4 linked regions of the Alligator mississippiensis genome follow. The protein of the gene in region 4 interacts with the protein of the main gene of each other region in a pairwise test. Links are inferred from orthologs where the notes say so. Each region holds a gene or a part of one and is shown on either strand. Other genes may lie near its edges. The genes, in order: SEC22A, FA2H, AGR3 and ERLIN1.

What was found.
Region 1: the proteins of ERLIN1 (region 4) and SEC22A interact in binary tests that used the Homo sapiens proteins (3 or more experiments, as listed by UniProt). The two-hybrid records come from large-scale screens. The link is inferred for Alligator mississippiensis from reciprocal best matches to the Homo sapiens genes ERLIN1 and SEC22A.
Region 2: the proteins of ERLIN1 (region 4) and FA2H interact in binary tests that used the Homo sapiens proteins (3 or more experiments, as listed by UniProt). The two-hybrid records come from large-scale screens. The link is inferred for Alligator mississippiensis from reciprocal best matches to the Homo sapiens genes ERLIN1 and FA2H.
Region 3: the proteins of ERLIN1 (region 4) and AGR3 interact in binary tests that used the Homo sapiens proteins (3 or more experiments, as listed by UniProt). The two-hybrid records come from large-scale screens. The link is inferred for Alligator mississippiensis from reciprocal best matches to the Homo sapiens genes ERLIN1 and AGR3.

What each region holds. Positions count from the first base shown.
Region 1 is NC_081827.1:246,128,426-246,135,674, forward strand, and holds the start of SEC22A (vesicle-trafficking protein SEC22a), read right to left. Parts: upstream 3,009-7,249; 5' UTR 2,681-3,008; coding exon 2,667-2,680; intron 1,475-2,666; coding exon 1,271-1,474; intron 1-1,270. UniProt on the Homo sapiens protein: May be involved in vesicle transport between the ER and the Golgi complex.
Region 2 is NC_081833.1:40,865,676-40,872,565, forward strand, and holds the start of FA2H (fatty acid 2-hydroxylase), read right to left. Parts: upstream 3,008-6,890; 5' UTR 2,967-3,007; coding exon 2,700-2,966; intron 1-2,699. UniProt on the Homo sapiens protein: Catalyzes the hydroxylation of free fatty acids at the C-2 position to produce 2-hydroxy fatty acids, which are building blocks of sphingolipids and glycosphingolipids common in neural tissue and epidermis.
Region 3 is NC_081828.1:163,640,579-163,647,619, reverse strand, and holds the start of AGR3 (anterior gradient protein 3), read right to left. Parts: upstream 3,005-7,041; 5' UTR 2,838-3,004; intron 2,294-2,837; 5' UTR 2,144-2,293; intron 1,496-2,143; 5' UTR 1,369-1,495; intron 1-1,368. UniProt on the Homo sapiens protein: Required for calcium-mediated regulation of ciliary beat frequency and mucociliary clearance in the airway. Might be involved in the regulation of intracellular calcium in tracheal epithelial cells.
Region 4 is NC_081829.1:10,006,660-10,014,057, forward strand, and holds the start of ERLIN1 (erlin-1), read right to left. Parts: upstream 3,011-7,398; 5' UTR 2,996-3,010; coding exon 2,929-2,995; intron 2,456-2,928; coding exon 2,332-2,455; intron 1-2,331. UniProt on the Homo sapiens protein: Component of the ERLIN1/ERLIN2 complex which mediates the endoplasmic reticulum-associated degradation (ERAD) of inositol 1,4,5-trisphosphate receptors (IP3Rs).

The sequences.
Region 1 (7,249 bases), on a different chromosome or scaffold from region 4:
CAACAGGGGGAGGAGGGCTAGGGAGGGTTATGGCATGTGTGGAGGGGGAGGGAGAGTAGCTGAGGTGTGTGAGGGGGTATGGGGTGTGCATTTATGGCAGTGCGAAGCGGGTGTGGGTACATATGTATGGTGGGGTGCATGTGTGGGACTTGCCCTACAAACACAATCATGTACACTCTCACTCATTGCCTAGAGCCCCTGCCGGTGCCGGAAACCACATGGAAAGAAGCACCACAGCAGAAGGGAAACTGGGGAAATGGTGGTGGCAGGTGGGAGCGAGCAGGTGGGCAGACAGGAACAAGCTCAGTGACAGCTGGGTGGGAGTGCAGGGCCCACGCCGGTGCCCCAGGGCCAGGGCTGGTTGGGCCCAGAGCAGGGTGGTAGGAGTGTGGGATCCAGCCTAGCCGGGGCTCTGTGGAGCCAGACTGGCTCCCTCCTCTCCCTGCTGGCACAGCCTAGCCTGGTTCCATAGAGCCCCCACCAGCCCAGGCCCCACGCTCCTGCAGGCTTACTTTGGGCCCCTGATGGCCCTGGCCCTGGGGCACCAGCACTGGCCCTGCACTCCCATTCAGCTATTGCTGCGCTCATGCCCGTCCACCCATCTGCACATTGGGGTGTGTATTTTAAGCAGGGAAGATACTTCCTTCACTGGAAAAGCAGCAAGCCTGGAGCATGCCATGCAGCTGCCAAGATGGCAGAGTCCTTGTTAACTCTCCCAGAGCCACAGCCACTGGCTGAACACAGAAAACACAGAACCCGGTGCCTGAAGCAGCAACTGAGCTGGTGGCAGTATCTTGATGGGGGCTTGTAATGTGGAAACAACACTTTATTTTCAGGAACTTATATAAAGAACTACTTACTGTAAAGAACTAACAGTCTTGCTACTGCCCTTGCAAGGGTCTGGAGTCTAACCTTGTGTGACACTGAGCAAGTCCTGCTGGAAACATAGCAACTAGAAAGCCTGGCATCCCAGAAGAGAGTCTGGGTAAGGCAGCTGGCACCAAAAACTTCCTGGTGCCACATTTCCTGGATGCTACAATCCCAAGAGAACTTACTTAATGTCATAGAATTAGCCATGAGTATGGAAAAATCCTTTTTGTATGTTCTGCCTTTAAAAAACAAGGTATGCGCCTTATTTTGGAGAAGCAGGGTGTATGTGAGATAAGACAGTATTCTTAAATTGATTAATCACCTCTATACTGTAATTCTTAACTTGCTACAGCAGATACCACTAGGAAGCATTGCAAGGATAATGAGAGAAGAACCTTACTTTATGTTATACTGCCCCGTTTTCAGCGTACATCTGTCGGGAAGCTGAGCAAGTTTCCTTGAGAGCGCTTTAAAATATTTCCTACATTCCTGCACACCTGCACTCTGTTCACAATCTGTAGAGGCAGAGAGTGGGAGTCCATCCCTCACACGGACCACGGAGGCAGATAAGATCATAGACATCGCCAGCTGATTTAATAGAAACCTAAGAACAAAAACACACTCAAACTTATAAACACACTGGTTAAAATAAAAGCAATTTTTTCCAAAAAGGATCTGCAGCCAGATTAAACATCAGTCTATGATTAGAAGCAGTAACTGTGGCTTCAGGCTGCTGTAAATCTGGCTCAACCTTACCACACAGCACTGGGCAAGTCAGCACAGGACTGAAGCTTGAACACTAATTCACATAAAACATCCTACTGCATAGGCCCAACCATTTCCAAAGACACACACAGGATGCACAATCAGACTTCTGACTTATCTTAATAATATTATTTCGATCTTAACAGCTTGCAGAAGCTCCAAATGCAATTGCAGACCATTCTTTTATTTATCGTTTTGTATTACTGTAGCACTTAGAGGTACCAAGTGAAATCAAGGTTTTAGACATAACCACGCAAGGACATAATACAGCCTCACTAATCAAGAAGTCCTTGCCCTGAAGAACTTACACTATGAACAGAGGCAGCAGCAAAAAGAAGTTTTATTATCCACTTTTCAGAGAGGATGGTTACGCTGCCTCTCAGGACTTGCTGGTGGGCAGCCGCCTTACCTCCGTTTTGAATGGCAGTAGGTCCAGAGGAGGCTCAGTAAACCTCACCATGGCATTCCCCAGCTGGGCATGCAGGCAGCGTACATGTGCCCTGAAATCTGGGCCCTGCCTAGGTTAAATGTCAATATGTGCCTAACTTTAAACATATGCAGAGTTCCACTGAATTCAATACAGATTTTTAAAGCCAGGCAAAGGCTAAAAAGCCTCTGCTAAATGGAGAGCCACTTAACCTAATGAAGATCAAATAGAAAACTGGTGCACAGCCAAGAATACAACCCAGGGTCTCAAGTTGTAGTTAGTATCTTAAACACAGGACCTTTCCTCTCTACCTGGGCCTTAGGTTTTGGTATCTGTGAGATGAGTAGCAATATTAATCTAGCTTACACAATTGCCGAGTTGTTTACAATAAACTGTTTGTAAAAACACAAGAAAACCATACATGAGCTGTTATAAAGGACAAAAAAAGATACTAAATCTAATCTCAGAGATGAGGATAGCAATGAATAAAATAAGCCTGAACAAAAATTAGGCGGGCAAGGTTCTTTGGAGAGATGTGGTATCTTTTATTAGACCAACTGAGTAGTTGGAACAAGGTTCTTTGCAAGCTTCCAGGCACACGTACCCATCTTCAGGCATAGAGAGACTTCTGTTGTTCAAAAATTATTCTTTTTCAAACTATATAATACTGCTCTCAACTTTCTCTAGCAATTATATATGCTGTAGTGTGCTTGGCCTGCATGTATAAAACAAAAGCTTATTAAAATATTCATGACACCAAAGGAGAAAATTCACAGCAGACATTTTAAAACACACTCCCATGCAATCTTTATAAAAAATGACAAGATATATTTTTTAAATCTTCAAGCTGTTAAAAATGTAGCAAGACAAGTAGCATGTAGTACTCTAAAAGCAAAACTACTTGTTTGCTTAGAAACAAGGTAGAAACTTCTGTGAAAAGGAGGTAAAATTACTAGAATTTAATATAAATGAAAAAGCAGCATGCTTCCTTCCTCCTGTAATTCCAAACACCACAATATAAACTGCCCACCACACATACTATACATATTACCAGATAAAACGTCAAGAACAAAGAAATGTCTACCTCTGCCAGACTGTGCTGATGTAACCTAAGCAGGTCAAAGACAGAAAAAGAAAACCGATTTCTCAATACATCTGAAATACATATTCATAGTGTAAAATAACAGCAGCACATAAGGAAATGGCCACTTGTACATTTGGAGCCGTTTCAAGAGGGTAGCAACAGTTTCCCCTTTTGAAATGGCTCCAAATGTACGTGTCCTGGCTCTAGGTCAGAGCTGTCCAACTTCTAAGCACCCAGGGGCCATGTGTCCTGGGGACCTACACTTCCTATTACACCTTGTGATCCCCCCCCTCCTGCTGCAATGGTCACGTGCACTGGTACAATGCCCCCACACCCCAAGGCACAGCCCCAGACTCACCCTTAGCTCCTCATGCTGCACGTCATCCCATCCCCTGAAGTGCCAGAAGCTGAAGGAGGGATGGGGAACCTGGAGACTTCAACTGCTATTGCAGCCAGAGTGATGGGAAGAGCAGTGGCTGGGGACAGCCCAAGGGTCACACGGCAGTTGGACAACCCTGCCCTAGTTAACACCCTTTGGGCCAAGATTTTAGAAGTTCTTTACAACCTTTATGGAGCATTTCTAATTCGAAAGCAACTCTGAAAATGACCCTCACCTGCTCATACGTTCTCAAAACTGAACAACAAAAAAAAGATTATGTACAAAGTTAATTTTATTAAACGAGACTCATCCTAAGTGATTCACTTCATAAGCACAAAGACAGGTATAGTGTCCACAGTGAACATCTGTTTCTATTTTTAGTGTTGGAAGAGAAGGAAGGAATTTGATATTGTATTTCTTTAGTTCAGGGACTGGCAACCTAGGGGCCACAGAGCCCGTGGACATGGGACTTCAGCTGTAGGCCCTCTCCTGATGCCAATGCAGAGATAAGCTACAGGTACAGACGGATTCCTAGCACCCGTCCCCTCCGACTTAGGGTGGATTATTCCAGCCTACAGCTGAACAGGTTCCCACCCCTGCTGTAGTGATATTTCAGTCCCTTCTTATATACTCGACTCAACCTTTATACTGGGGAATCCATCGTGTTAACTACAAAGGTTCCCTATCACTACAGATTATTTCCCAGGAGTTGTCCCAGTGCCATTCTAATTTTATTGTTCATTCAGTCAAACCAGATTTCTACCAAGGTTGCAGCAGCAGAAGCCACTGCTGTTGCCACTAACTTTGTAAGTTAGTACCTCCGTAGAATCCCTTGCTGTGTAAAATGTGTGCCATGAACTGATTGGAATCAAACATAAAAATAGAAAAAAAAGTATGAAAAAAAGTCCTCTGAAATGTCTGGTGTAGACTTACCATAGCAACGGGCAATTATTTGGGCCTGCGGGCCACATAGGCAGTTTTGGGGAGCTGTTACAGGCCAGTCAGCAGCACCACCCCCTATCTCCTCTGCAACAGCTCAGAGCTTGTGTGCCCTACAGCTTCTCCCTGCCAACAGCACACAGCAGCAGCTGAGTGCACAGCTCCATTCCTGGCCTGCCCTGCATCTGGTCCAGACTTGCCCTGGCTGGAGCAGACCGGCTATGGAGCAACAAGAACCCACATGCATAACATCGACCCTGGCCTGTCCCGTGTCCTCTCCAGACTGGTCTATCCATTATGAGCAGTGGTGGCAGACACAGCAGATGCAAGGCAGCCCAGGGTCAGGGCTGTGTGCAGGTCCCAGCTGATCCGGAGCTGGTCCACTCCCATTAGGATGATTCCAGAGAGGACATGGGGCAAGCCAACGGTTGAACCCAGGTCCCCAGCAGTCCCCATGGGGCTGGGCTGGGGCTAGGGCCATCAGCAGCTAGAAGCTGCTGCCACATGAGCTGCTTAGAACTGGAGTCCAGCCGTGGAACCACCCCAGCCCCACTGCACACCTAGGAGGCAGGATGGCCCATGGGCCAGATGGCGCCTGGGCTAGCTAGGAGCAAGGGACCCTCCACAGGCCGAATAAAGTCCCTCCATGGGCTGGACCCACACCGACTTGAGTGATGTTGTACCTGTGATAGTGCAGGAATTATGTGATGAGTAAGGATTTCTTTTAGTGATATCTTTTGTTAGACCAGCTTCACAGTTGGGATAGCATTAGACAAGCTTTTGAAAGCAAGGCATTTTTCGTCAGGTCTGAAGAATGCCTTGAACTGAAAATCTTGCTTAACTCTTCCAGCTATGCAACTAGTCCAACAAAATATCACAGAAAGAAATCCTTGCCTCGGGTGTAGACTTAAACATTACTACAAATCTGCAAATATGAACAGAGAATTGAGTAGAGCTTATGGGAATAGAGTTGCTTCAATCCTAACCGGGACTATTGGGCACTACTTCAACACAATGTAATAACTGATAACAACAAAAATGCATCAGAACAAGATAGACTACAATTCTTTTCTCCTCCACTTACCTGCCCAAAACCCAAATTCATGAATCTGCATTGCCTCGGCGGTACTGAACAACTTCATTAGCACTTAATGGGATGAAAGGAACCCAGCTTCATGTTCCACTTTAGGAATATGTGGGTACATCAGTGCTATCCATTGCTGCAGAGAAACTCAGAATCCTAACACCAGTTCTTAAGTAAAATATTGTTTTCTTCACCATTAAAACGTTCTTCAGAGTTGAAGTTCACGTTATGCTGTGTGAGAAGGCAAAAACAAATGGAGCAATTTAAGAAGTAATAAGTGGGTATCAAAATTAAAAGTGCACATTTATCCATTCCCATAAACTCCAAGAATTAAACAGCAAGCAAGACAATTATTACACGGTGAGTCACGGATATACAAGTAAAAAGATAAACTGAGCAAAAGAACATTTAAAAAAAAAAAGATTCTATTACATTATGCAAGTTTCCAAAATGAAATCACTTTAGTCATTTATAATCAGGTGAAATAATACTACAAAATACAGACCTTTATTGGCAAAGAGATTGATAAATGATCAGCTGTAAATGGGTCTCTCTCTGATTTCTACCATTTATTTAATAAATGCAATATGACTGATCTCTAACCTTCTCTGGGCTAAAGGGATTAATAATAAATAATAATTAAAAAAAAAAAATCAAGAAAGTAGTATTGAATAATTCTGTATTTCCCTTTCCAAAACATTCCTACTGCCAGCATATTCAACCCTGAATCTAATTTTCTGTCAATATTTGTTTTTACTCTAAGGATTAAAAGTAAAGAATTCAAATAGCCAATATCAATAATACACATAGGCAGCAGAATTTAGCGTGGATAAAATCCCTCTTATAGATCTAAGTTGTCTATCTATTTTACATATTTATTTTATATATAAATAAAATATTCACATAAATCCTAGATAAACAGGATTCTGAACCCTTATTCATATCAAGGCAAATTAGTTCCTTTTTCAAAAGATAAGCCTTCCTAAAACCTACCAGCTGTCTTCCATGCATTGTGAAGTGACAAGAGAACAAAACTATGTTTAGACACATGGCCTCTTTTATATCATTAGTGAAATGTTCCCTATTAAACCATCCAAATGAAGACTTTTATTTTCTCAGCCTTTCAAAAATAGTGCCAGAGTGCTGCCTAATAATGCCATTTCCTTAAAAGAAACCACTGTGGTTGTAGATGCATGCAAATATGGGGAAATACCATATTTACTCAAATCTCAGATGATCCCCCCCTCCATTAGATTCTACGCATGGAAAAATTTATATATTTGCTATAATTTCCCATGTACAGAATCCAATTTTTTGAGGGTTATCTTTAATTCATTCCCCCCACTGTGACAGGGCACAGGCTGTGGGGAGGTCAAGTAACTTGCCCCCTATTTGTACCTGGCCCCGTCACCTCTGCCTTCAGGGGGTTGGACTAGATGACCTCTGGAAGGTCCTTCCAGCCTCACTTCTCTATGATTTCCATGAACTGGCCCTTCAGTGGACAAGCCCTGGTCATTTTGGTCCAGGAAGTGCTGGAAAGGCTAGTGTCCTCAGATGAGCAGAAGCCCACCCTTGCAGGAGATATCCTTGCCATCTCGGCCACATTCTGTAAAGCTAGGCAAAAGCTTAAATGGGTGAAGTGTCGCACATAAAATCTCATCTACAGATTAATTTTGAGTACTTTCTAATCAAAATTTGTGG
Region 2 (6,890 bases), on a different chromosome or scaffold from region 4:
TCAACGAATTGAATCTCTGTCCCTGATTCAGGTCACATCTGAATCAAATAGGGCCCGCTTCACACACCACTAATACCAACAGAGAAGGAACAGTAGACATTTGAACAAATTGTAAAGAACCATATTTGTCTTTCACCACAAAGAAATACTCCAAAAACAAAATTTCCCCACCATTGCAAATGGCACCTGGGACCTAATGCATGAGCAGCCTCCCCAAAAATGTGCACCCTCCCACACATACCCAACATACCACAGTAAGACTTTATTTTAATTATTATGCAATCATGTCTATGTCCACTACTCATGAAAACATAAATCCAGACAAAATATATGTATTTTTAAATAAAATTAAAATATGTTACAATATATGTTTGATTTTTAACTTATAATTTGTTCAAATGATAACTTCTGAAATACTAGCGAATTTCTCGTCAAGAATGGGGGGGGGCGGGGAGGGGGGCACTGCCACCGCCACCTCCCATGCAAGACCCTGGAAGAGGAGACTCAGCAACAGGGGCTGCCCTTGCCCCCTGAAGTACATACCAGGGGCTGGGACAGGACAGACAGTGGAAAGAGCAGGGCTCAGCAGGGTGATCGGCTGCCGCTGCTGCCCTTAAGTGGCACCAGCTACATGAGTGATTTCAACTTTCAGTCTCAAGGCCCCCTCCAGTTCTTTTCTAAATGTAGATCCCTCTCAGTGCTTTTCAACTGGGGTGTCTTAAAGTTCAGAAAAGTTATGGAAGGCTGCCTTGAGGTTGAGTACACAACAGAAGCTCAGCACACACAAACTGCTTTCAAAATGGCTGAAACGAGTTAAGATAAACCTGGATGGATGCAGTATCAAACTTAACTGATTTAGGTTAAATCAATGTATTGAACTTCTGTCCCAGATCCCCTCCAGATTCAAGTTAACTCTCAGTCCTCTCATATCCCAGGATGCTTTGCCCCTCAGCCCCCACCCTCCCTTGCAGGGTGGGCAGGCGGGCTAGCCTTGGCCCAAGCTGTCTGCTCCAGCCAAGCAAGGAGGTATGTTCTAGCACCCCCTGGCTTATGGCCTGGGCCACTGCAGGCATGTGGCTGGATTTGTGGAATCAAAGTGAATGTCTGTTCATTTGCTTATCCGTTCAATCTACACAGTTTAGACTAACCTGCAAAGATTAAATCAATTCAGCCTCAGGCTTTTTGATGGTCTGTACTTAGCCCACAAGTCTGGATGTACAGGCCACTTTAGATCAGTTTAAACTTCCTGGAACATTTCAAAAGCACCCCAGGAAAATCAAGTACTATTCTGAGCCAGTCCTTGGTGAACCAGTTCAGTGTTACGTGCAAACAGCATTCCACACGTAGTGTCCTGGTCAGTTTTCCAAGCATCCCAAAGTGCACCGCTCCTCATCCCCCAAACCTGTGGAGAGCAACAGGGCTGCTCTGGGATGCAATCAGGACTCTACTGGCCAAAGAGATCACAGTGGTGGGGAAGCAGAAAGTTTATGTCAGTTCCACTTTCCTGCAATCCCTTCAGAAGGTGGCTCTCCAGGAAAGAGGCTAGAAAAGCCAGAGTTCTGGGGGGAGGGGAGGGGCAAAGCACCCAGACCCCTGGGAAATATGAGCAGAGGGAGCTAAACAGGTCTCCAACACCTGGCAACCCCTCCACTCCAACCCCCTGCCTCAGCCTGGGTCTTCCTCCCTCCCTCCCTCCTGAGAGACTCCAGGCACTGGCCCCTGGAAGGCAGGATGGTCTGGGGATGCCACCACCCCCTGGTGCCACTCTGGCATCAGTGCAATGCCCAAGGTGAGGGTTGTACTTCCCACCCTTAACAGCCAGTGTGTGGAGACTTCTGTCCAGGGACAGTCATGAACTAGTTCCCAAAGCAGTGATATGATAGAAAGCAGAGCAAGTGCCATATGTGCCCATCCCCTTTGAGCACTTTCCACTCCCAGGCTCAACACAAGCCTGCAGTCTACTTCCCCCTCACAGGTTGCCACACCACTTTGTGTCATACACCACCTGCAGCAAACTGCAAAGCTGCTACTCGGGCTTTGTTCAAATCCCACCCCCCCAAACTTCCAGCAAGGTAACAGCAGCTGCACAGTGCCAGAGGCATCCAGGACACAAGTGGGGTGGGATGATTTCTTCTGCACGACACATTACTTGAGAACTGCTTCACTGAATTCTTCTGCCACCTCTAAGTCTCACCAGCTCCCACCTCCCCCTGGAAGAAAATTCTGGCTTTTCAGGCTAGATCAACTTCTTTTTCTTGCCCAATCCACAAGGACATCAATGTAAGGCTTTGCAGTGAGAACTCCGGAGAGGAGGGCGCTTCTGCATGGGCTCTGAAAGGGCAGTATTGATAGAGCAGGTTGGCAGTGCCAGGCAGCGACAGGAGCCTGCTGTTTGCTCTGGCATCACTTTCTATGCTGGGGCATCTACTGTGGTGCCCCCCTCCCGCCTCGGGAGGAGCCGGCCCCTTGCAGCTCTCCGGAGCCCCCGGGCCGGGGTGAAGCAAGCAGACGCTCTCCCCGCCCCGGCTGCACTAAGCCCCCTCCTCAACTGCCCCTCGCACCCCCGCTCTCCGCGCGGAAGGAAACCTTTAGCAGCGGGGCGCCGAGGGGGCTCGGAGCGGCCCCGGCCCCCCCGCAGCCCCCGGCCCGCCCGGGGGGTGTGGGGAGGAGGGAGGGAGGGAGGAGGCGCGGGGCGGTACCTGCGGGCCGGGCTCGGCTCGGAGTTCGCCCACGTAGTACTGCTCCAGCCAGCGCCGCGCGTTGTCCGAGTGCCGGTGCGGGGGCCCGTCCAGCGCCGCGCTCACGTCGCTGCCCGCCAGCTGCCGGAGCAGTTGCTGCCCGCCCGGGTGCAGGGGCACGAAGCCCGTCACGTCGTACAGCCGCCGGCCCCGCAGCACCAAGCACGAACCCTGCGCGCAGCGCTGCCGCAGCTCGGCCCGGCTGTAGGTGCGCGGCGACGGGGCCATGGCGGGGCAGGACACCGCGCTGCCCGGTGCCGACTGAGCCGCTCCCCGCCCGGCACCTGCTCCCCGGCGGCTGCGCCCGCCACGCCCCGGGCGGCGCGAGGGGCGGGGCGGGCCGGGCCGGGCCGCGGCTGCAGGTGCCTGCGGCGGCCGGGAGCGGCCCCAGGACGGGGCTACGCTGCTGCTGCTGAGCGGGAAGGGGGCGAGAGGCCCACCCGGCCCTCAGGGGCGCCTCAGCTCAACGCAGCGCAGACCCCGAAGCCGGAGTGCGTCTAGCTCAGGCCTCGCCTGCTGCAGGAGAAGCCCCAAACGGCCCATTCCAAAGGCAGCGGGTGCCCTTCGCTTCAGGGCAAACCCCGAGGACAGTTTTCCTCAGCTGGGCCCACAGTTGAAGGCAGGCAGCCTCAGCTTTCCTCAGGATCCAAACACAGGCCCCCCTCTCATGGACCAGCAAGAAACCGACACTTAGAAGGCCCTGCTTTGACAGTCCCACTTTGAGCAGGGGTTGGACTAGATCAGTGGTTCTCAAAACTTTTTTGTACCATGACCTATTCATAACATCGATGACCAGTCCCAACCCAGTGCCCTTCACTTGTGACCCACAGGCCTCAGCCCTTCTCAGCATGTGGGGTAGAGGGTGGGTATGGAGGCACAGGGGGCTGCAAGCAGCCCCTGCCAGCCTGGAACTGTGCTGGCTTGCAAGGGAAAAACCGTTTCCCATTTTCTCCTTCAAAGAAGAATCCATTTTTAAAGTTTCTTTGTGACCTTTTCATATATTGTTGCAACCCCACAGGACTAGATAACCTCCTGAGGTCCCTTCCAGCCCTAATTTGTGTGATTCTGAGATCTGCAGCTGGTGGCAGCAGACCTCTCTACACAACGCAAAGCCACACCTTCCCTCACAGCCTTTAAAGTTTTGTCAGAGGGAAGGTGAAACAGTAGCTTAGTACGTGACTGCTCAAGTGACTGACTCATGTTTATTGGATATGAATCTGCACATTTGCAAAGGCCACAAATTAGTCCCACACCCTCCCCAGGTGCCACGCCTCTCCCTTTGCCCCATTCTGCTTTCTGCTCCTTGTTCTGTCCTCCCTGACCAATCTGCAACTCCTTTCTCCTCTCTGCCCTACCTGCTACTGAACTGCCTGTCCCCTCTCTGATATGGTGCATGCCACACAGGCAGCCTGTGTCACTTGTGGCTCCCATACCACAGGTTGGCTGTCCCTATCCTAGAGGATATCCTGAAGGACAGATTGGTTTGTGGTACTTTATTGCTAATAGCAATAGCAATATTGTCATTAAGGGAGTAATATCATCCTACACTGGAACCAATAACAAGGATCCTCAAACAATGATAACCTGTACTTGAAGAGGTTTGGACATGGTGAGATATATTACCAAACCTCTGCTCCTGGCTTTCAAATAAGCTACACACCTGTTCCAGCTTGTCATCAGAAACAAACTCCCTGCTGGCCAGCAAACCCCAAGAAGTACATGCCACTATCATAAGAACAGAAGCAAAACCTATCAGCACATCTTCACTGCCATCACAATCAACACTCACCGGAATGAAACCATCAGAATCTATGAATCCTACATGTTTATCATAGCATGTGGTACACCTCATCTAGTGCACTAAATGGCCTCATAGAAACATTGTGGGTAAAACTAAACAACTGCTAAGCTCTAAAATGAGCAATCGCAGAAAAAAGATAAAGGATCACCAAAGAGTATAAGTAACCATGCTCAAAAGAACAAGCCTAATCACACAGCTGGACTAAACAGGACCTAGTATGCACATAAGTGGCACTAAGGCTAGCCACTAGAAATCTACAGTGCTGAATGAAATGGATCAGCTGTGCCATGATGTGTTGAGGCACAGCTGATTTGCTTCACTGGATGAAATGGACATCACCCCTTGCTCTGCCCTTGATGGTGCAGGACAAGGGCAATGTGGTCTCCAGAGGCAGTTTTGGCTGAGCAGGGAAAAGGCTCCCTTTCCCCACTCAGTCAGCCTCATCCCTTGTGATGACAGGAGCAAGTGTGGCTGTGTGGGGAAAAGCCCTGTTATTTTAACTCAGCCAGACCCATCTCCTTCAATCATGGGGAACAAGTCTGACTGAGCAGGATACAGGACTGGGTAAGTGCGGTGCCTTTCTGTAAGCAGGGAAAGTGGGCAGGTACTATGGGGACTTGAGGGGCCAGGGGATCTGGAGAGTGCGATCAGCTCAGGCTGCCCCTACTCTTCCACCACAGAGCTAATAAAGGTCTGCTGCAATCAAGCAGCAGGGCCTATTACTACTTTCTGTTACACCACTGTTTTCCCTTTGATGTGGTGTGACAAAAGATAATGACATCTATTTGCTCATAATTTGTGCTGCTATAAAGATTTTTATGGTGGCACAAATGAGACATTTGTTTCCACCCTAAGTGCTGCTAATGCATCTATAGTTAATCATGTAAGTAACACACAGGTGCTTTTAGGCACAACTGGTAGTTGGATGGTTTCACAGAGAATGCCTACAAAAGGGGTGGCACAAGAATTCCTGAGCCTGCCAAGTAGGTCTGTATTATTACAGGCAAGCCTGGATAATGACAAGTGATTATCACTTGAAAGAGGTGTGTCCACTTATTTACATTATTAAATAGTTAATTTAATAAATGTAACCATTTACATTTTAAAATAATGAAATTAATTTAATTTAATTTAAATCTAATTCTTAGTTTACAGCCTGTCTAAAGTTAACTGAAGGCAGGGTTGAAGGAATTAATAGAATTGTATGAAATTAAGCCATGTTGTATGAAGTGTGCTGCCCCACCCCGATCTTGCAAAAGATAAAAGGATGACCAGTGTATGATTCCCATGTTATCTCTACAGTTTTTTTCAAAAGACAGGTAAAAACATTTGCTATGTTCCAATTAGCACTTGGCTGTATTTAATGAAAGACTGTATATGTTTGTGAGGGACTTGGCAATTTCAGTCTTGAGAACTCTTTGGATGAAACTCATCCCTCAATTCAGTCACCTCAGTGTCTAAGAATAAATCTTCTAAAGGCTGCAAACAAATGTCACTTCTGTACTACCATAATAGCTGAAGTAGAATCTGGCCTTGAATGTTTCATTTGCATCACTCTTAACCAGTATAACAGGGTGGTCTGGCCCTTTAGGAAGGAACAATCAGCCCTGTTGAGGAATTCCAGCTCTGGGGCATTTGGATAGTGAGGGAGTATCCTGCTGGGAGTTTAAAACCCTAGGGGAGAGAGCAGAATGGGAGCAAACTGTGAGGAAATAGTTTGTAAGCCAGAGACAAGCTGTGAACAGAACAAGCGCATGATTTTTCATTACAGGATTCTATTATCAGTTATTCAAACTTTATCAAATTTTATCCATTAGATCTCAGATTTCCCATGCTACATGTCTTCTTTCAAGTGATTTCACATGTGTCTACACATGATCACCAGCGATGTCACTATAGCAGCACATTCCCCAGGTATACTGCGTCACTACAATGACATGGCAGCAAAATTTACCCATGTGCCGTGCACACAGCACAGTAGCCACACAACATGTATACGTGCCCCCAAAATCCTAGTTTTCAGGTGCTTGGTAGGCATCAGAATTTGGCACCTAAATACTCTGAAGATTTCCTCTGCACTGAGCATACAACAGTATCTTCCTATCTCCACACAGCTCCTCAGTACAGTCCCACCCCTTGTTAAGGCCATGGCTCCTCGCTCCTCTGCAATCCACTCACTCACTTGCAGGAGGAGAGTGCTGGAGTCACACAAGAGGCAATCTCCATCTTCTCCCTTCCTGTCCTTGATATCACAGTGTACCTGGTTGCTTCTTCTCTCTTTGCTTCCCTGCCTCCGCTATCCTTCTTCCCACTTCTTGAAAATGCTGCACACTGTGCAGCCCAAATTCATC
Region 3 (7,041 bases), on a different chromosome or scaffold from region 4:
TTCTGGCCAGCTGACTCTCCTTAGTTGCCCCGGCAACCCGCAGCTGTGCTCATTAGTGTCCTGCCAGGGCTCTCTCCCTGGCAGTTTCTCCTCTCTAGGAGCAGGAGCACCGAGGTGCCCTGCGACACCCCCAAATAGGAACATAGTGGCTACAGCGGTCTTGGAATTTTGTCACAGCAGGCCATGACTGAACACCAGTAGAGGAATAACTTATCACCCTTCCAGATCATCAATTATGAGTACTTTTAGGGCTTTTACAACAGCTGTCCATAAGCCGTCTCCGGCACCACAAATATTACTGCAGCCAACTCCAGTTCTGCCAGATAATTTTCATCAAAGGTTATTATATATACCTTACAATATCAATACAGGAAACAGATATTATTCCAAGTGAAGATAAGAATGATTAGTCCTTAAAACTAAGCAGCATTCCTTGAAAGATATTCTCTCTCCTAGAGATATCGTGTAACTAAAGACATTTCCCTGGCCTCTAAAATAATCAATTAAGCCACCAGAGTATTTTCCCCCTTCCCTCCACACCTGGTCCTTTATTTTTTTTGAAGGGGCTTGGGTATCCCCTTTGTTTAACATACCTCCTCCTCAGAGTTGGATGCAAAAGCTGTTTTTGCCTCAACCTAGGTCTGGACAAGAACCCCTTTTGATACTCATTAGTGGTGCTCCTTAATTTACCAAAATGCACTGATGTTGTGTGTGGAGTAATGTGAGGCCTTCCATTTCATAAAGAGGGACTAGAAACACTGCTTTAATTCAGAGGCTGAAACATTTTTGGGAATGGGAAATCCACCTCAAATTCTCTATAAGGCTCTGGAATTAAACCTACCACTTACATTTGTTTGACCTTTTATGAGCACCTGTAGAAACATTAATGTCTATGACTTTGGGAAACATTCTTAAATTTGACTTCTGAAATGTACACATTTCCAATTTCCTCCAAGATAAATGAGGAACTTTTCAAAATCAGTAAGATTCTTTCCAGTTTCAGAATTTTTTTATTTCAAGGACTATAGAAATATTCCCCTTGCACTTAACCTTTATCATCATAAAGAAAACCTATGAAGGTTTTTTTGTGGGGAGAGATCACTGGCAGTGTTATTGCTGGATGCAGTTTAAGTGTATACAGTTTTGGGAATTTTGGATATTATGACAACCAGTACCAATAAGCTGGGTTAAACAGTGCATGATGGCAAATACTGTTGAAATTAGCTACCTCTCCACATGACACTCCCTTAGAGTCATTTTTTCAGTTATTCTCCAGACACTTTTTTTTTTTCTCCTCTCTCCTTCCCCATCACTACACTCAAAGTACTTTGTTAGCAAACTTTTTAAACACTAAAAACTTTTGCTCACCTTTTAGTAGATCAGTTCTCTTGATGAAAGTTCCTCCTTCTGGAAGTGTCTAGTTAAAAGTGGGTGTGATTTATACAAGAATACCTGACCTGCCCAGTTGTGTGTGTATTAACAAGAGAACATTCACCTGCAAAAATGACAGGAACCAGTTAGTCAGAGACCAAGCTCATGGTTTTTATTTCTTCCCCTTCTTTCCCCCCTCCAACATTTTACTCTTGTGGGTTCTTAGGCTTGTACACTGAATACTCAGATTTCTCTCCATCTTGGCTTGTATCAGGTGTCTTTGTATTAGGCCTCAAAGTAAATAGTGGTTTGTGTGTGTCTGTTACTTTTCCCCCCAAATAGTTTGAGTTTGGCTTATGTCCCAGTGAAAAAAGAAACCACCAATGAAAGTTGGAACTGTGTGTGCTATTGTTCCTGATGAATGTCTGAGTTCACTGGTGCTTGGAGATTAGGTATAAAGCTAATAGAAAGATACAAGAGTTACTTTGTGTGCAGGAATGTAATTAACGAATGAAAGCAACATTTTTTTTTTAATTTAGGAAAATAAGGCACTGTTTTAAAGAACATTGTGTAAAATACCTGCTGACTGTTTCTTTAAATTGAAATATCTAAAAAGTTCCTGTATCTTTACATGCTCATAATTCTAATCCAGTTTGGCAACACATGAAAAGTACTTCACTGTCCTTGAACACAAAACACATTGCTTTGGTCATTCTTGTCCTTTGTTACAGCTTTTGCATAGACAACAAGATGCATCAGAAGCAGTCCTTACCACTGGCTTCTTTCTCTGTAAGGAGTTATTTTATTCTGTTGAGATCTTTAATGCATTCATTTAAACTGATTTTTTTCCTTCTCTTTTCCGTCATTTGAAGTTTTGCATCCAGCTCTTAACTTTGCTGCTTGGCTCACTGCTGTTTGTAGCCTATAGATACCAAAACTCATTAAGAGATTACAGCTATCACATGATGATTTCCCCATGCAATCAAGCTCAACTGAAAAATAAAATCTGATAACAATAAAACGTTTGCTTTGTTAGTTGGCCTCGTCCAGTACTCATTCTCTGTATTTACTATTTCAGTGCAAAGACTATTTTTCACTGAAACATTGTGAAAATGTTCATCATATTTTCAGTGCAAAAGGCAGCTTTAATATTTATAATGAAGTGAGTAAACCTGTGCATTTCAAATTTGCTTGAATTTAAATGTAAAATATTTTCCATCCCTTGGTAGATGGACCACAGAGAAAAGTTGTGTTGGTTAGAAAATTGAAATCAACCATTTACTTTTTTGTGCTTATTTACCTGTTAGTGTAAATAACCACTACCACAAAAGCAGCCATCAATGTTCAGCCAGTTATCCTTGATGTAGGAATTGTAAACACAAAATCATACAAAGACTCAGTTTTTCTTACCTCCCATGTTTTCACACATCAAGTGTTGCAGCAAATGCCTGAAACATGATACCTACCTTGCTGGTTCTTTGCATTGTGTTGTATAGGCAGGTGGGATGTTAAAATTGAAGATGGGTTAAATGCAAGGCCTCTTAACTCACTGGGCATCCATCCAGATATCTTCTGTTCCCCTTCCTGACAAGCCTACGCAGTGGGTGTGTCTATATGTGCATTTACTGCACAGTAACTTTGCAGTAAGTTACTGCACAATAAGTGGCTTTTAGACCAGCATCTGCATGTACTGTGCAGTAATGCTGTGTGTGCTTTGACCTGGGAGTAAAGTTTACTCCCAAGTCGGAGCACACACAGTGTTACTGTGTAGTAAAGCATCTACACATGCCTTACTGTGCAGTAATTAAGTGGGCATAAATTTGCTACAGGTAGCAAATTTATACCCAACTTGGCATAAGTCACCGCAGTTACTGTGCAGTACAGGTGTGCACATGTAGACATGTACTCATACTTCACAGTAACTTTTGGTTACTGTGCAGTAACCGCAGTAACTGGGCATGTGTAGATGTGTCCAGTCATACCTATTTCTTGTGTACTCCTAATAAGTACAAACTATTTTCATATACCCTACAGAAGGATGCATTAGTCAAGAGTATGGAAATACTAGCCAAGCTTCCTCACCTTTGGCTTTTTCTTATCTTCTTCCCAAGGATTTGGTCCAGTTTCATGTGCAGGCACAACTGAAATTGGGAACACTGTTCATTTATAATAATATTTTCATTTCAAAAGCAGTATATGATCTATGGTCTTGAAGCATTATTTAAAAATTAATGAATTCAGAATCTCAGTACCTCTGTGAAGTAAGTACAGCTATCTTCTTTTTTAAGATTAAGAAACAGGTGCCTAGGGAAGGTACACAACTTGCCCAAAGGCACAAACATTCTTGGTAGACCTGGAAATGGAACTTGCACTTGTACAAATCCTTTCTTTTTTTTTTTAAGCCTCAAGCTATAACACATCATGAAAACTCTATGCTCTCAAAAGATCCTGAAGGGACTTACCAGAGCCATGCAAAGAAAAGAACAAGATGCAAGGTATATGAATTAATTAGGCCACAACTTTTATTAACTCATCTGGGATCATGATGCAATAATGAATTGTACAGTGGAGACCATGATTTTTCCTTTGATTATTCCTACTTATGTGAAGAGTTGCTGTTTTTTTTCCTTCTTCCCATTTGTTGCAGCCCAGTGCTGGTTCCCCATCTCCTCTTATGAGAATGAATTAGATATCATTTTCTCCTATAAAGATTGTGGGATACAGATGAAAGAGGGTTCTCTCTCCACTGTACTCTCTCAGGTTTCTCAACAGATACATGAATGGGATCATTTAGTTGGAGGATGTTTTGGTGTTAAATGGTTTCAAAATATGAGAGGTGTTCCTTCCATTATGGTTTGCTGGGCAGGGTGGAGGACAATTCTCACTTTGTACTTGTTTTCTATGATTATTCTTCTCAGAGAGAAATGTCAACTCACTTTTCTTAGTTTCTGTGGGAGCCTTCTTTTAAGCCCATTACCAGAACTAACTTATTAGAAAACCAGACTCACCTGTGGAATTACTCCCTGCCCTCGATACCTGCCAAGTTGCAGTCACTTGAACCTTGAACCTCTCTGCTTCTCCTACCAGCTATCTGACCTGCTGAGGGGATATATATGAGGTATCAGATGAACACAGTACTTTATATATTTACAGTTTTGAAGTAACTTGGAAGCCTACCAGTGGCTCCATCCTTACAATAAAATAAATTCTAAATACCTATCTATTTGGGCATTTGATTTTGGGGGTTTTTGTTATGGAAAATGAGAGCTTCCCTTCCCCCCCTTTCATCACCAGGACACAGGTCCGGCTGCAGCTATCCCTCCCCCCACTCTGTGGCACTGAGCAGCTTTTTAGGCTAGGGACAGAAGTTGCACATAAACCGGTTTAAGTGATCATAAACTGGTTTAAATTAGTAACAGAACAGAAGCTCACTTCACATAAACCAATTTAAAAATAGCTGAAACTGGTATAAGATAAACCTAATTGAATGTAGTATCATACTTAACTATGGGTCAAACTGGTTTATGAAACTTCTGTCCCAGACCCATTCTTGGTTCAAGTTAAATCAGTCCCACAGCATCCCAGCACACTTTCCAGCCCTGTGCTGGACTATACTTTCTGCTCTACCAGAGAAGGGTTTTTGGGGGGCAGGGGAAGGGGTAAGGAAGCAGGGACTGCCCTCCTCCTCAGGCAAACCAGGGCCAGGGAGGGTACAGAACTACCCTGCTGATAAGCTTACTGAAACTTACTGCTGGCTGTGACTGGACAACAAATCCCAGAGGTACCTGGAAACAAGAAGAAGAAGTGATTGGCAACCCTGGAGAGTCCTGCTGATGTGATTCTGGACTGCAAATCCCAGAGACCTAGGGGGCAGCAGAAAGAGGAAGCAAACCCACCATCTATACTGGCTACAGGCATGCTCTAGCTCTCCCTAGCTTCTGACTGGAGCCACTTCAGACATGTTGTTGTATTTCCTGAATAAGAAGTAAATGTGCACCAGTTGTTTCTCAGTTTAATCTTTGCAGCTTAGACTAACCTGAAAAGGCTGATTTGATTCAGCCTTGGACTTTTTGACTATCTGTAATTAGCCTTAAAAGAGAAAATCCACATTTTTTCCTGTGGGAAATAGAAAACATGAATCCCTGATGACCAGCAGTGAGAGACATCATGATCGGTAAGAGCAAAGCACAAATATTGTCCCTACTCCCAGCTCCCATAAAGGGGATGTCCCTTCTGCATTATACCCCAGTTTGGAACTAGCTTCTGCTAGTACCATTCAGTACAATGCAACACTGGTCAGGCTGCAGTTGGAGTACTGAGTCCAGTTCTGGGCACTGCACTTCAGGAGGGACATGGACAACATGGAGAGGGTTCAGAGGAGGGCCACCCACATGATTAGGGGTCAGCAGGGCAGGCCCTACGAGGAGAGGCTAAGGGACCTGAACCTGTTCAGCCTCTGCAAGAGAAGGCAGAGGGGGGACTTGGTGGCTGTTTACAAACTAGTTAGGGGGGACCAGCAGGCATTGGGAGAGTCCCTGTTCCCCCAAGCACTACGAGGAGTGACAAGAAATAACGGTCACAAGCTGGCAGAGGGTAGATTCAGGCTAGATATCAGGAGGCGCTACTTCACTGTGAGGGTAGCTAGGATCTGGAACCAACTTCCAAGAGAAGTGGTGCTGGCTCCGACCCTGGGGGTCTTTAAAAGGAGGCTGGATGAACACCTGGTGGGGGTAATTTGACCCCAGTACTCTTTCCTGCCACGGCAGGGGGTTGGACTTGATGATCTGCTCAGGTCCCTTCTGACCCTACCAACTTTGAAACCATCTGCTAATACTGCCTGGATAGGAGAGCACCCACCAAAGCCTGAGGACAAGGGGAGCCATAGGAAACATGACCAGTTTTCTTCCTGCTTCTGAGACAAAGTTCTCCCCATTCCCCATAGGCTGCAAGAAGGACACCGACAAGGCCAATTTTGGCCATCTGTACCAAATCCATTTTTTCATGGAAATGTTAAAAGGTACAGTCATGCATAAGGCAATGTGCTAAAAAGACACTGCTGTCCTAGGGAAGGGACTTCATAATGGGAGAAATTGACTTAAACATTGTATAGAATCATGGTAGACACCTCATGTTTCTAAATCCATTCACTGTTCGTTAGAAAGACTTGACTGAAGCTGTCTAACCTGTCTACTTTTGCATGTATATAGCCTTGAGGTCAGGTTGACCTGGAAAATGGGACTCACAGAAGCAGAGGCAGACTTCTGCCACAGCTTGTCAGCTGACCTGGCTGACAGTTGGATCACAGAGCAGTTTAAGTGCAGTAGCCATTGTGTGCCCAATACCAGTACTTGCACTAAAAATGCACTTCTTCTATGCTGTGTTTAAACTTGGCCTTTTAACTACAAGAGCTGGATGGTTACATTTAGTGTAATAAGGAAGGGGAGGCATTTTGCACCCCTCTTCCCTCCTTTCCCCAGATTATTTATTTTGATGTAAAACAAACAGCTAACTATACATTGTCTGTAATTATACACGTGCTGTAGATACACTGCTCTGAAAACAAAAGGCATAGGAATAAATTAATTACAGGTGGTAAGTAGTAGAGGTGCTCTGATGCATCAGTCTGATATTGGATCGGCACCGATATAAAGAAAATTGGCTATATCAGAA
Region 4 (7,398 bases):
ACACCTGGGCATACAGAGCAAGCTGTGCCAGGTCTTCACAGGAAACTAGCCCTTGGTGGAGCAGATCTTGCTTACTAAAAGATGCATCCAGCTGGTGATAGATGTGTGCATTACTTTCAAATACCAACCCTCCTTCAAATGTCTGCCTAAGTGCCTCTTCTGTGCAAATCTAATGGTTAGTCTCTTGCCCATAGCCAGGAACAAGGTCCTAGAACACACTGAAGAATAGCAGCTTCTTTCAGATGAGAAAATGTATGCACCAAAACATTCAGGCCACAGATAAAGTTAACTAAGTGAGAGACTGACATTGACTCCAGTATAACACAAGATGAAGGTGTGCAAGGGCTGACACAACAGAAGTAGAGCGGAGAATTGCAATCTTCAGGGTCACAGAAGCTGGTGATGGCATCTTATACTATTAGAACTAAAAGAAGCTTCTTTGTAGAACAGCCAGTTTTAAAAGCTGGGAGAGTTGGGCAGTCAGCAAAAAGGTTTTATTCCCCACTGGAAAAAATGGTTCTCATTTCAAAGGAAGAAACTTCAATAAGCTTCAATGCATCTAATTTGACAAGATGATTGTTTAATTTAAGTAAAATTAAGAACATCTGAGAAAGTTTGTAACACAGAAAACTTCAAGAACCTGCAGCAGAATCCCTCAGATGTAAGTCCTGCAATAAGTTTCACATGCCATTAGGCAGCAGTCAGATGTAACCCTCCCCATTTTAGAGGTCTGCAAAATAACAGTCTGATAAACCTTTCCAACGCAACTGCATTTTGTCCATTGTGCAAAGCATGCGATAAAGCTGAATCAAGACCAAGATGGTCTTTCATAGATGTTAAGGACAGAAGAAACAGTTACCTACTCTGTTACCTACTCTGGTCTGACCTCCTGCATAGTGCAAGCCAGCTGATTTGCCTTGGTGGATTCTGTACGCAAGAAAATTAAGGGAGTTAAGTCCTACTACACAGGGGAGTCAGGGTGTGATGGTGGAGCAGTTAAAGTGCAAAGGTGCAAATACCATCCCTGCTCTAAACTCATGCCAAAGGCTGTCCTTAGCTGACACACCTGAAAGTGGATACCTGCTCATTCAGGATGGCAGTCAAACATGGCTAGACAGGATGCTAGTTGCATCTCTCCATTATACATCCCTGGCTAAAGAAACTAGCACGCCCTGGTTGTTCAACTTGGGCAGACCTTTGCCACAGACTTTTTGAGAACAAGAGAACACCATGACATGTAAAAGATGTGCAGTAGAACAAGACACTTTTCTTGTAGTTATTTAATTCTGTATTTAATTATTTATTTGTTAATTAAAGTAAGCCAGTCTGACTTTAAAACTCTGAAGTAATGGTGAATGTACCACTGTGCTGAGTGACCTGAAAAATACCCCAGATCATTTAACAATTATCACTGCTATAATTTATTTAATGTAAATGGAAGATTCCCAGGGCAGCAGAACCCAGATACTGCATTTTCTGTTTCTCTGGTGCAGATGCAGTTCATAGATATGACTTCTGTTCTCATTCAGGTGAGAATCCAAGCCTGCAGGGTGAACACTGTGGCAAACTTCACAGTGGTAGGAATTGCACTTCTGCATGCTGGCCTGGAAGGGACTTTAACAGTTAGACTATTATGATTTACTACATTAAATGCTGACTAGATCAGAGGCTCCAAATTATTTTCATGGAGACAAACACACCTTCTGGAGATTGCTGGCAGGAGAATACTCCCTCAACCACATTTGTATAACTTCTCCATGGTAACCAGAGCAACTGCTTATGTGGAAAAATGGAACAGTAAAGTGTGTTTATTTTCAGGCACTTAGCAGCTGAAAATAAGAAGAATAATCCACAGATCTACTAGGAAAAAGGTATTTCTAATAGTTTGGGTGGGAAGGGGGCAAGGGAGGTTTAGGGCCAGGTGCTCAAGACTGCAGGACACACTGTTGGTGAGGAACTCCAGAGTAAGTACGCAGGAGTTCAAAGGCCATGTTTGTGTGCATACTCTACAGACAATTAAAGTTGTACTTTAATCCTACACTTGTTTTGCATGCTAGGGTAGGAAAGGTCATACAAAAAAGAAAAAAAAAAAAAAAAGAGACAGTGGAAATCAAGAATTTTTTTTTTTAAAGAAAAAGCTTATGATTTTAGGCCAATTTTATCATTTATGTATTGGTAATATCCTGAAACAGGGCCCAGACATGGAACATGGACCTGGACAATCACCTACCCAAAGCTTTCCTTTGAGGAAGTGTACTGCATTTTCTGGTTAAACCCAGAAAAACATTGTTTACTGGCAAGAGGCTTGGACATGCTTACTAGGAACAGTACCTGTAATACACAGCCAGGTGACCCTCCTCGACTTTGTGAATGGAGGCGCAGAGGAGAAAAAGCAGAACTCCTGTTGCAGTTGCAACTACTGCTCCAGCCTGGGCCATGGTCATTTTCACATCATCTGTGGGAACAAAACACAGTCACTGTAACACTCGGAGGGCCATTGCCATACACATTCATCAATTTTATGGTCACCTGATGACCAGGATACCCCATCTTTTCTTGCCTATGGATTCTTTTCAAGAGCACAGGCTCCCAAACCTTCTCATAGTTTAGACCCAACCCAAACAAACAGATTGTCTCCCCATTCTTGATCACACAGCCCATCATCCTGCCTACTCACAGACATATGGCAACCTTGTTCCAGATACAGCACTGCTCACATAGTACAACAGTACAATATTAGGAGTGGCACACATATTTTAAGCTTAATTTAAAGCGATTTGTTGGAAAACAAAAGAAAAGGAGCCAGCAACCTGAGTCTAGCCCAGTTTGAGAACTGTTGCTTTACAGCGAGTTGTAAAATAATCCCTAGTGGAAAGCACAAACCTCTTTAGCAAGACTTATCTAAAGATCCTCTAAGTCGTATCTTACCACATCTACAACTCAGGAGCAGCTGGCATGCTGCCGTCACAAACTGACTGGGAGACTTCCTTCCCATCCAGCAGAGGAAACACAGTTCCAAAGGGCAAGAGGGCTAATCTGTTGCTGCTTCCTCTCTGCTCAATTCATTGATGATAGGCAAGAGGAGGAATGAAAGTTTTTGGGGATGCTTCTCCCTCCATCCAGCCAAAACATCTATTTTATTTTTTCTCTTCGGCATGGGGCTGAGGACAAACAATAGAGAAACTGCTGTTCTCATCTCTGAGCAGAAAACAGAGGGGGACCACAGCCTCCCACCTTCATGTCCCATTATGATGGCACTCCTATTTCAAAGGCAGGGCAGTCCATGCTGTTGCACAGCTCACACTGCCACTTATGATCAGGAAAGATTAATTCCCTGTTCTTATCCAAGAGCTCCTTCCCATTTACCTTGACAACCTGAAATTAACCCATCTTAAAAAGGCAACTGGCACCAATCACATACCTTTCTTTTCTGCAAGGTTTGGTCTTGATTTCCTAAGCTCATTACAAAAACTGTGATTTTTATTTTTAAAAATCAACCCACCTATGAACCCACACACCGGCTGGTCACCCACGTAACACCAGCGGTATGCACAGCAACAACCCAGCCAGTGCCAACTCAGCGCTCTCCTGCCTGTCCTCCTTTTTCTGCCACTCTCACTCTCATTACAGTAACAGAACATTGACAATGGCATTTAATAATCTTGGAATACAGCAGAAGATTCAGAGGCCAGTGAGAAAGCTACTGCATGTCAATTATTCCGGGTAAATTGGGATAAAATGGGAATTACAACCAAGGTATCTTGACTTCAACCATGGACAAAGCCCTGGAATGGCTGAACAGGGATTAGCAATAAAGAATACAAGGAGGGAAATATGATCAATGCCAGTCTTGTTAAGTTTAACTTGATATAGAGCTCATTAGTGATTTTACAAGTCTGACTGATAAAAGTAACTGTGAACATAATGCACTGATTTCTGAAGACATCTTAGTATTGCTGATAATTCTGATTTTAAAAAATTAGTGCTAGATAAAAATCAATGGCAGCATTATATGGATTTAAAGCTGATTAACTGACGTATCTCAAAAAGAAATACTTAATGAGTAGGTATAGGCTGTAGCCATGTTGGTCTAGGGATATAGGCAGAAAAGGTTCTTTGGGTAAATCCGATACCTTTTATTAGACCAACTAAAACAGTTGGAAAAATTCTTCTTTGCAAGCTTTTGGGTATAAACACCCTTCTTCAGGCTGAGGAGGTCTGCAATGTTCTGTGTTCTCCTGGATGGAAAAAGAAGTCAGAGGCCACTATGCAAGAATGCCAGTCAGCAAAAATACTGAGGTGGTATGCATTGCTGCTCAAGTTCCATAGAGATCAATTCTTCTCCTAACATTATACCACTGATGAAAGGAATGAATAAACAGAAGGAAGAAATCACTGCTGATGAACTGGGCAACAGAAGATACTGTCTAGATGACAAATAGTGAATAAAAAAAATAGTGAATAATAAAAAACAAACAAACAAACAAAAAACAACAACAAGAAAACCTTTCCTTGGAGTCTCAGAACAGCACAGACTTCCTATGCCTGAAGAAGGGTGACTGTGCTCAAAAGCTTGCCAAGAACTTTTTTCCAACTGTTCAGTTGGTCTAATAGAAGTAAAAACATCTACTCAAAGAACTTTGCCTAAAAGAAAAAGGTGCGTTTATACTGGACTATTTCCCAACGTATAAAATGCACCTGTGCATAAGAAGTCTGCCCCCAAAAAGGATAAAATTGTAGCAGAAAGGTGTTTAACATAAATTTGACTGCATATTGGTCAGCTTTTGTTAGTTATTCTAGCAATCTGTTTTCTTATATAGCTTTGGTGTATAAAACATGGCATATTTCCCACTCAAAAGGAAATCTAAAACTATGTCACGCACTAGAAAATATAATAATAAAATCATATCTAACAACAGGGAACGTAGGTCACATGGACAGCATGAGGGACTGCAAAGCAGGCACTCTGGGGTGGCGATAGTGGTCACACTAACTGAACGTGAGCTGACAGTACAGAGTGGAGGCTAAGCAGGTGAACACAGTCACTGGCTATATGAACAAGAAAACTGGAAGCAGGAATAAATAGGTGTTAAAGCTTGTACAGGCAGCACTGGCAAGATCATTCCTGGAATACTCTGTTCAGTTCTGGTGCACAAATTTCTAGAAGGAGGGTTGAGAAGAGTCACAAGGAACAGATACATAGGTAAAGGGGCCAGGGCTCTAAAGAGCTGCTTCACAGTAGCTGCCTGTGAGTCTGCCCTGCCCTCCTTGTAAGAAAAGCTGAACTGGAGCATCTTATCCCTACAGCAATTTAGCATCCATTCATTACAAGGTAAGGACATGCCTACAGTTTTCACAGAGAAGCTGAGGCACTGTAAAGTCCTTCTGTCCCCACAACAGGTTTCTCACGGGTCCATACCTATAAGAACAATTTGAGAAAACCTGCTTCTTAAGGAGCTCAATCTATTTATCTCACCAAAGAGAAGATTACATGGTCATTTACAAAGAGAGATGGTATCTGATAGCAGATAGCTATTTACCCTAGCACACAAAAGCAGAACAAGAATCAAACGCTGAAAGATTTAAAAAAAAAAAAGTCAGTAAAACTGGAAATAAGGCACATTCTTAACTAGGAGGATAATCAATCATTTGAACATTTAAACAGGTTACCAAGGGTTGTTCTGGAGTCTGTTTCTAGGAGAAGATTAACCAAAATTATCCTTCTAAAGTACATCCAATGGTTAAGCTGGTGTGTTAGATACCTTATGCTAGGCAAAAAGCACACTAAATGGATTATGATCACTTTCCAGCCTGAAAAAAACCCTTTACGTTAAAAACCTCATAATATTTCTCAAGTAAGTTTAATTGAGCAGGACACCAATCCTCTTCTGTGCAGTGCCTGGTGACAAACACTGTAGCAAACTGAACACCTGGGGGTGGGGGGGAGCTATGGCCAGCTGCAGGAAGGCAGGGTGCTTATAAGCCTGCCTGGAAGGACTGAGCACAGCTGATAAAGATGACTGTTTAGGCCCTAGGAGTTCAAAGTCTCCTAGGGTTCCCAAAGGGGAAGAGTAGCCGAGAGGGAGAGAGCAGGTGGGTCAGCTCCCCAATGAGCCCCAAGCACCGCACTAGTGGTGGCTTGCAGGACTCAGAGAGCACTCAGAACCCCTAGGAGAGGAAAAGTCAGTTCTTAAAGAGATCTTCCCAGAACCACCCATCCTAGCCTTTAAACAAGCACCGAACCTCACCAACCTCATCACCAGAAGCAAACTTCCTACAGCCCATAACACACCGAATGGATCCAGACCATGCCATGACAAGAAATGTAAAACCTGCTAACACATCTCTACCACCCCCACAATTAATATAACCCACAACAAAACCATCACCATTCCTGGATCTGACACCTGCACTTCCAGAAATGCAATACATCTCATCCAGTGCACCAAATGTCCTGATGGAAAATATATATGAGGAACCAAACAACAACTGCTTACCAAACCACATACCAGAATGAACGCACATCAAAAATCTATCAAAGACAAAAAAAACCCGATTACCTGTGGGTGCACACTTCTTACAAGACAACCACTCTCTCCGATCTCTCAAATGGAATTTACAAAATATCATGGACTAAATATAGACATAGGATTTATGGCACATTATAACCTGCCTGACATCTGATAACCCCAGGTAACCTCTATGTTTTACCAGCTATGTTCTATCACCAGGTCAACATTTCCCCTTCCCCTACCCCAACTTGCCTGTCTCACACTTTTCATCTCCCATGGCCCCTGATCCGCAGTGCCACACATTCACATGTTCACACACCTGCATTTTGCATGCTGGCTTCTATTCCATCCAGGAGAACACACAACACCAGCAGACTCTCCCTATGCCTGAAGGGTGTTGGTGCCCAAAAGCTTGCAAAGAACAATTTTTCCAACTATTTAGTTGGTCTAATAAAAGATATCACATTTACCCAAAGAACCTTGTCTATCATATTATGCAACAAACTCACAGACCAACACTTGACACCCAACCTCATCTTCAAAGTAGGTATTGTTTCCTGTACCACCAACAGCATGGATCTCTCAAAAAGGCTGTTGCTCATAGTTCACTGGTGATAGCTTATCTTTGGGTGCCAGCACATAACCATACTGGAGCTACTGGATCTCTCCCAGGCCTCTAATATCAACTGTCATGAAATGCAACTATTCTGTCACAGAGACAATGCCATTTATAAAGGATAAAATGCTAGCTATTTGCTATTCCCTGGATCTCAATGATAAAAGCACTGCTTATGCCGGTACCCGTGTCATCAGGGCCCCCAGCCTGGATCCAGACCGTGGAGCTCCCCGTGAGTTGAATCCAGACCTGGCAGTGGTGTGAGTGGCA